Macaca fascicularis: one gene and its partner. The protein of the gene in region 1 purifies or fractionates together with the protein of each later gene. This does not show direct contact. Links are inferred from orthologs where the notes say so. Each region holds a gene or a part of one and is shown in the gene's direction. Other genes may lie near its edges.

Region 1 (4,296 bases):
CTTAAATCTGTCTAACACCACCGGCTTGCCATCTTCCCGGTGTAAAAGTTTTTCTTTTACTGAAGGCTATAATTAAGTGGACTCTTTCTTTTCTGCAAACAAAATAACTAATAACTTCAGTGGCTGAATTAGAAATGCCCCAATGTGATGTTGGTGAGTAGGGCAGGTTGAGGAAAACGTGAGGCCCTTAGCCTAGGAGACACAAAGTCTGGATTCCAGGCCTGGTCCCACGTTTGCCTTCAGTCTGTATTTACTGGGCACCTAAGGCCCGGGGGTGCGGAAGGAAAGTCAGTCTCTGCTCTCCCGGGAACATACAGTTTATCTAGAAAGACGAAGTGCACAAGCCGCTGTGCACTGTGGCAGGAGTTAAAAAAGCAATGAACTCAAGATATTAAGGAAACACAAAGGAAGCTTTCCTTGGCTTTTACCCTTGAACCTCGCTGAACTTCTTAGATTCCGTTCATTAAAATTAGAATAATTCCTTGTTAATATACTTTGTGGTGTTGCAGGGTCGCAATGGCCAAAGCTCCCAGAAAAATATAAAGAACTCAAGGTAGGGATTTTTGATTAGTGAGGTAATGATGCTAATCTGTACACTGAAAAGATTGTTTCATTTCAGCTGTGCTATAGGAAAACAGTTACAACTCGCTAGTAGTTTATCAAGGCGGGAAAAAAAAAAAGGCAGCGCATGGTGGCTCACACCTGTAATCTCAGCAGTTTGGGAGGCCGAGGCAGGAGGATTGCTTGAAGCCAGAGTTTGAGACCAGACATACCGAGACCCTGTCTTTACTAAAAATAAAATTGTCAAGTGTCCTGGCGCACACCTGTTGTCCCAGCTACTCAGGAGGCTGAGATGGGAGGATCGCTTGAGTCCAGGAGTTCGAGGCTGTAGTGAGCCATGATCGTGCCACTGCACTCCAGCCTGGGCAAAAGAGCGAGACCCTGTCTCTAAAAAAAACCAAAACGAACCAGGTTCGGCCTAATGCAGAGGGAAATCAGAAGCAATCCCCAAAGTCAACGCCTTGGAAAAGGACGCCCTGGGTCTCAGTACTCCGGGTCACGCGCGTCCTGCCGCTCGCTCTCGGGGCGCTCCCACCTACACCGCCCTCATCCCCAGCCCCAGGCCGGACACCCGAAACAGAGGTACAGGACCGCACGGACCAAGCCGCGGGCGATCCCTGGCGGCCAGCTGCGGCCATTGACCGCTGGAAGCGCGAGGGGCGGGGCGCAGAGCGAGCGCGGGGCGGGGGTGTGGTCTTCTCGCGTGAACTGATGGCGTCATCGAAGCGACGGCCCAGAAGGAAGTCGCGTGCTGAGGGGTGTGACGGTTTTCTTGCTCGTGGGCTCGGACGAGTACGGAGCGCCTGCAGGGACAGCCTGGTACGCGGCCCCCGCCCCTTCGTGCGCGCGCTGGGCCTAGCTGCAGCTCCGGTTCGGGGCTGACCCATCACCCTCGGGAGCCTCAGTCCCAGCAGCTTCTCTCCCTCCGCCGGCCCGCTCCTGGAGAGACACAGAAACCCTTTTCTGTCGCGTCCCTTCCTTGAGAGCCGCAGGGGGACGGAGCGGAGGCTATTGGAGCCGCAGTCCCAGCCCAGGGCGCTTGACCCTCTCTCGGAACGGGGCGGGGAAGGGGCGCGAGTGACTTCGGGGAGGGAAGGGCACTGGCAGGAAAGGACGCAACTGCAGATCGGTAGCCGGAGGCCGCCACGGTAAAATAAGCGCCTCGCAGATGTCCGCGCCCGGGTTACGTTAGACCTGGGAGGCAGAATCCACGCCCTGCGTTCACGGGCCCACGCACGCACAGCTGAACTTTGCAGTCAGTCACCATAGTTCCAGATCATTCAGTGTTCAGGATCCAACTCCTCCGCGTCCTGGTGCCTGAACGCGGTTGGACCCAGGAGCCCAGAGGCTCGCAGTTTTGGACATTGCCTTTGTCTCTGACCACGGGCTTGGGGATCTGTCAGGTGCAAAGTGCCAAAGTATATCGGGGGGAGTGTGGCTTCAGGCTTGTTCAGAGCCCTGTCCTGTTTAGGGCCAAAGGAATAACTGGGAAGGTGGATGCGAGGCCAGCGAATCCTACCTTGAAACTCGGCTCGCCTGCTGGCTCTGCCACTCCAGCATCTGAAAGGAGTAAATAATGGTTTCCCTTGAAACTGCAGGCAATTAGGAGTGGGAGGCTCTGACCAGAATTACATAGCCACAACTGCCTGTCATTTGGCATCCTCTGTAATTTGGGCCAAAGTACTGCAGCTGCCTCTCTTCCCTACTACTAGTATGAAAGATTCAGTGACAGCACATTCGTGTTCACAGGAAGATGAGGCTGTGTTCTGAACCCTACCCAGCTGGCACGGGTTCTCCCTTGAGCAACGGCTGTATCCGGAGCCAGTGCTTCCTCAGTGCGGTGGGGGCCCTGATTTCACAGTTGAGGAAAGGGGAACGTTGACTGAGAACGAGGAGGAAGCGAGTTGTAGATCTAGCCTTGTGTTCACACGACACCAGGCTGAATATGAGTCACTCGCAGGGAGCTCAGCTTGGTGAGGTCCTCTGGCTGTTGCGGCCTTTTCTCCTGCACGTTGGACCACACACATTTTCCCGTGTCTTTTCCCTAGGATAAAGGCTCACTGATGGCTCAGTTGGGAGCAGTTGTGGCTGTGGCTTCCAGTTTCTTGTGTGCATCTCTCTTCTCAGCTGTGCACAAGATAGAAGAGGGACATATTGGGGTATATTACAGGTAAGACAGAGACAGGGCAAAGTCGGCAACTTCTGTTAAATAGCTCCCTTTCCTGGTCACTGCTTTCCTAGCAGATACTGCTGAACATCTCTGTTTATATTTCCTTGAACAGGGGAGTCTTTTCAGATTGAGCTTTTTATGTCAGTAACCATGGAAAAGAGAATACACACACACACATATATGTAAATTTAGAACTTCGCTTAGTAGTCCAAGATGATGCCATGGGTGGTGATTAATAAATGTTTATATAGATTTAGAGGCAAAATCTAAAGGAAACTGGTGCTCCTCACAGATCATCCCTAAAATACTGTTTTCTCCTACATCCCTCTGGCAGTCTTAGCTCTACACTGCTAGGTTACCTTTACAAAAGCCAGCTGAGTCCCAGTTCTTGATGGCAACTTGAGAAGGTAGCCTACTCTGCTAATTTAGGATACTCTTTTGAAATTAACATTTCAGCCAGCCTGGGTAATATGTGAGACCCTATCTCTAAAAAATAAAAATAAAAAAATTAATTAGCCGACTCTGTGTCACGCACACGTAGTCCTAGTTACTCAGGAGACTAAGGTGAGAGGATCACCTGAGCCCAGGAGATTGAGACCAGCCTGAGCAACATAGTGAGAGCCCATCTCTACAAAAAGTAAAAAATTAGCTGAGCATGGTGGCATGTGCCTGTAATCCCAGTTATTGGAGAGGCTGAAGTGGGAGGATCACTTGAGCCCAGGAGTTTGAGGCTGCAGTGATCACACCACTGCACTCCAGCCTGGGTGACAGAGCAAAACCCTGTCTCTAAAACTAAATTAAAATAATATTAACATTTCACGAAAAATGAAAGAGCCTGCAGGTTGACTTATGTCAGTCAAAGCAAGCCTTAGGATAGTGGTTCCTACAATAAATTTAGGAGCCCATTATGTCACTGTTTGTTTTATTGGTTTTTTTTAATTCTTTGCATAATATAAAGCAAAGAAGCACTTATAAGTCGGGTTGCTTTCTTTTTAATAATCTCCATGACCAAGTTTTTTGCTTTATGTCTTTGTGAACTCTTCTTATATGTGCTGTTGTGATGCTTATTTCTGGATTGATAACAGCAAGTTCTAAAACTCTGGAATTCCTCTCTCCTTTAATTCTTTCTCCCCATGATCTGCTTACATGTTCCCCAAAAAGGCTTTTAACTTTATCATTTACATATAACTTGATTAGAAAGGTAACTCTATTGCCAAAACATATATTTCAATTACTTATAAAGTACTTCAAATTATTCTTTTGGTTGGTCATGTCAGTGGACTCCAGCATTAGTGCAGGTAGTTGATAACCACATTACTGGACTTAACTGCCCTTATGGATTACCACAAGCCCAACAGATATGACAAAGTAAAACAGACTTCATCTTCTTTTTTTTTTTTTTCTGAGACTCAGCCTGGCTCTGTTGCCCAGGCTAGAGTGCAGTGGCAAGATATCAGCTCGCTGCAACCTTCGCCTCCTGGGTTCAAGCAATTCTCTGCCTCAGCCTACCAAGTAGCTGGGATTACAGGCACCTGCCACCATGCCTGGCTAATTTTTGTATTTTT
Region 2 (3,500 bases), on another chromosome or scaffold:
TCCTCTTCTTGGTCAGGTATTCTTACCACAGCTTGAGGCGTGACCGTGCAGGAACCAGATGGAGAATAGGAGAAGCCCGCGTGGGGCGCTCTCGCCCCGTACTTGCCCACGGGCATGTGTGCACAGTGCTCAGTGCCCAGTACAGTACATGCTAGAACCCCCGAAAATCAACTCCAGGGCCACCCTAGGAGCATGTGACCCAGACTATCAAAGTCACATCAGCAAATATGTATCTCATCATGTGCCCAGTCCCAGTGCTGGGTGGTGGCAGGAGTGTCAGAGCTATGATGTGACAGGGTGTGGACAGATGCTAACCTTTTTATTGTAAGATCGAAATCACACTGGATGAAAAGATAAGGTGAACTACATAGTCATTTAAGTTCTGTGTACTTTAGGCAAATGTGGATATTAAATACAAGGTTACATATTGCTCATGTTAATATGAATAATCCCTGCTTGATTCCTTTCTGTGTTTACTGAGGCATGTTCAACTGCACTAAATAATAGTGATTTTTTAAAAACTTTCTAAACAGTACAATTTTGTGGGAGTGGTACTCAAAGAGAACAAGAATATAAAATCACTCTTAACTATTATGTTATAGCTGATAATTTTTTCTAGGAAAAGGACTGGTTTGAGTAATGTCTTGTGTTACTAATGACCACACTGAAGTTGTGGAACTTAAATCTGCTGTATTCTAACATTGTCATCTTTTTTTTAAAACAGCTGTTGTTGGCCTGCTGTACCCCTGTATCGACAGTCACCTCGGAGAACCCCACAAATTTAAGAGAGAGTGGGCCAGTGTCATGCGCTGCATAGCAGTTTTTGTTGGCATTAACCATGCCAGTGCTGTATCCTGAATTTTCTGTGCTATGTCCAGAGTATCTTCTTAGGTTATATATTGAAGCGTTTTGTTTTGTTATATATTCAAATGACTCCATGTCGTAATACAAACATGATGGTGGTACCTGCCCATTTCAAATTACTAAAAAGAGAAAGAAGAATGGGGCTGTCGATGACTTCATAGTAAAATATATTGTTTTATGGTCAAAATGCTAGCGGCATTTTATATATAGCTTTCAGCAAGTTTATTCTTATGGTTAAGTTTTTGAGTCAATGATGCCAGGGAGATTTCAGGTGATCTTGGTGATTACTGTAGCCTGTATCCAACAAATCCTTTCTTTAGCTCATTACACAGTTTTTATGGACAGTGAATTATTTGTATAAAATACCCATGTTTTTGACCCTTGTGGTTTTCTTTGTGTTTTTGATCTTATTAAGAATCAGCAGACTTTTCCTTAACTTTTACATCACCAGAAATTGGATTTTGCCAATAACGTCCAACTGTCCTTGACTTTAGCAGCCCTGTCTTTGGGGCTTTGGTGGACATTTGATCGTTCCAGAAGCGGCCTTGGGTTGGGGATCACCATAGCTTTTCTAGCTACGCTGATCACGCAGTTTCTCGTGTATAATGGTGTCTATCAGTAAGTATGTGTTTTCAAATATTGGCTTTGGAAAGCTTGCTTAACTTTCATTAAAACATCCACAAAGCTTAGATAGTTTCATATTTTATTTGGTTTTTATATAGAATGATCTAGATTTAGGTACAAAATTCTAAAAAACGCTGCTATCCATAACTTAATGCAAAGGAAAACCAAGTAGTAGCAGTTACAACCAAACATTCAAATATGAACGTTTTGTAGCATTTCGTGGTTGATATGCATTCTGCATATCCCCACTACAGAGAATGTTTGATGCAGAATTGAGCCAGGTGAAACTGGCTGCTAAGGCACGGTTTCTTTTCTTGCTCCAGGTATACATCCCCAGATTTCCTCTATATTCGTTCTTGGCTCCCTTGTATATTTTTCTCAGGAGGCGTCACAGTGGGGAACATAGGACGACAGTTAGCTATGGTGAGTGAAATGATCATATTATATTATCTTCTAAAACTTGCGTCTCTTTACCTTGATAGAATTACTTTACATGATACATTCAATTTTGTGTTTATATGTTCCGGTTCAGACTTGAGTGACAATTACTGAGAAAAGGTTGTATTTTAAAAAATAGGTAATGATACCCAGGTAATTCTTTGCTAAATTATAAAGATTTGTAGATTCATAAATTCATAATATTTGATTTAGAAAGGAACTAGAGCCCTCCCACTGCCCCTTTGAATTGCAGATGTGGTCGGTGTTCTGAATTCTTGAAATTTGTGTAGTAAGCAGTAAAGAAAGTGACTGGTGTGTGAGTGTCCCCTCCTCCTTCGCCGTCAGAAGCAGATCTGGATGACCTCGTGCAGTGACACTTTGCTCCCTGAGCATCAGTCCGCCGGTGTTGCTTTTCACAAAATCAGAGTGGATGCAGATGATGCTGGCCTCTTAGTCCACAGTCAAGCAAATCGAGCCTGAGGCTCCAGAGTCTGTCTTGGGCCAGGGCAGGGCCTGGTGTGGGCGGGTAAGGGGACAGCCTGGTTCAGACAGGCAACACCCTTCTGTGGGGCAGGTGGCCCTGGGCATGGAGGAGTGGTGATGAGAGCACCACTGCACGTGGCCGGGTCACCGTGTAGATGGACTGTCCTGCCTGAACATTGCACCTGTTCTTACTGCAGGAGAAAGCAGCTCTACCCCACAGAGCTTCTCTCACAGCCCCCCTGAGGGAGATGGAAAGGTAGATGAACTCCAGGATGGCTTTAGCAGTTCTTAATTAGTTAAAAATTGGCATCTTAGCACTTTAATTTAAAAAACTAGAGGTGAACTTTTAAATGTTATTTTGAGTTGACTTTGACTGGCAGGCTGAAATAAAGTGAATTAAAAAAAACCTAGAGCTGTTCCTCTCGGAGATAAGCTCTGGGACTTTCTCGGAAGACTTATCTGGGCACCTCATGCTATTTTTAAAACAGTACATTTATTTTTGCCAGCTGATACCTCTGTGAGGAGTTGAATTTGAAGGCCACTTGGCTGTTTCACAAAAACAGAAGTAATTACAAGTAGAATTTGCAGTGTTCCACTGGTTACTGAGTCTGTGCTGCCAAATTTCTCATGATGGAGAAGAAAGGACTTTGCTTGCCTTTTTTTTTTTTATTTTATTTTATTTTTTTTTTATTTTTTTTTTGAAGACAGAGCTCACTGTGTCACCCAGGCTGGAGTACAGTGGTACCATCATAGCTCACTATAACCTTGAACTCCTGGGCTCAAGCAGTCCTCCCGCTTCAGCCTCCTGAGTAGCTGGGATTACAGGCACATGAAACCTTGCCTGGCTAACTTTTTTATTTTTTGTGGAGATGTTATCTCCCTGTGTTGTCCAGACCAGGCTCGAACTCGTGGGCTCAAGCGATCCTCCCACCTTAGCCTCCCAAAGCACTGGGATTTTAGGCGTGAGCCTGGCCTTGTTTTTTTTTTAATATTAAAAATCTGGTCGAATGGTCCCACATGAAAATACTACATTGTTTTCGTGCATTCGCCATCATTCCTGTTATAGTCTTCAAACGAGAGCTAGGCAACTC

Evidence for each region. The genes of interacting proteins can lie anywhere in the genome.
Region 2: the proteins of ERLIN2 (region 1) and INSIG1 purify together in Homo sapiens (affinity purification with western blotting; 4 studies listed by BioGRID and IntAct, with this or other methods). This does not show direct contact. The link is inferred for Macaca fascicularis from reciprocal best matches to the Homo sapiens genes ERLIN2 and INSIG1.

What each region holds. Positions count from the first base shown.
Region 1 is NC_088382.1:41,109,821-41,114,116, forward strand, and holds the start of ERLIN2 (erlin-2), read left to right. Parts: upstream 1-1,500; 5' UTR 1,501-1,964; exon of another isoform or gene 1,965-2,080; coding exon of another isoform or gene 2,081-2,121; exon of another isoform or gene 2,122-2,276; intron 2,277-2,609; 5' UTR 2,610-2,624; coding exon 2,625-2,731; intron 2,732-4,296. Other genes in the region: uncharacterized protein, read right to left, coding at 996-1,500, 2,081-2,121. UniProt on the Homo sapiens protein: Component of the ERLIN1/ERLIN2 complex which mediates the endoplasmic reticulum-associated degradation (ERAD) of inositol 1,4,5-trisphosphate receptors (IP3Rs) such as ITPR1.
Region 2 is NC_088377.1:196,596,942-196,600,441, forward strand, and holds part of INSIG1 (insulin-induced gene 1 protein), read left to right. Parts: intron 1-724; coding exon 725-849; intron 850-1,315; coding exon 1,316-1,482; intron 1,483-1,811; coding exon 1,812-1,911; intron 1,912-3,500. UniProt on the Homo sapiens protein: Oxysterol-binding protein that mediates feedback control of cholesterol synthesis by controlling both endoplasmic reticulum to Golgi transport of SCAP and degradation of HMGCR.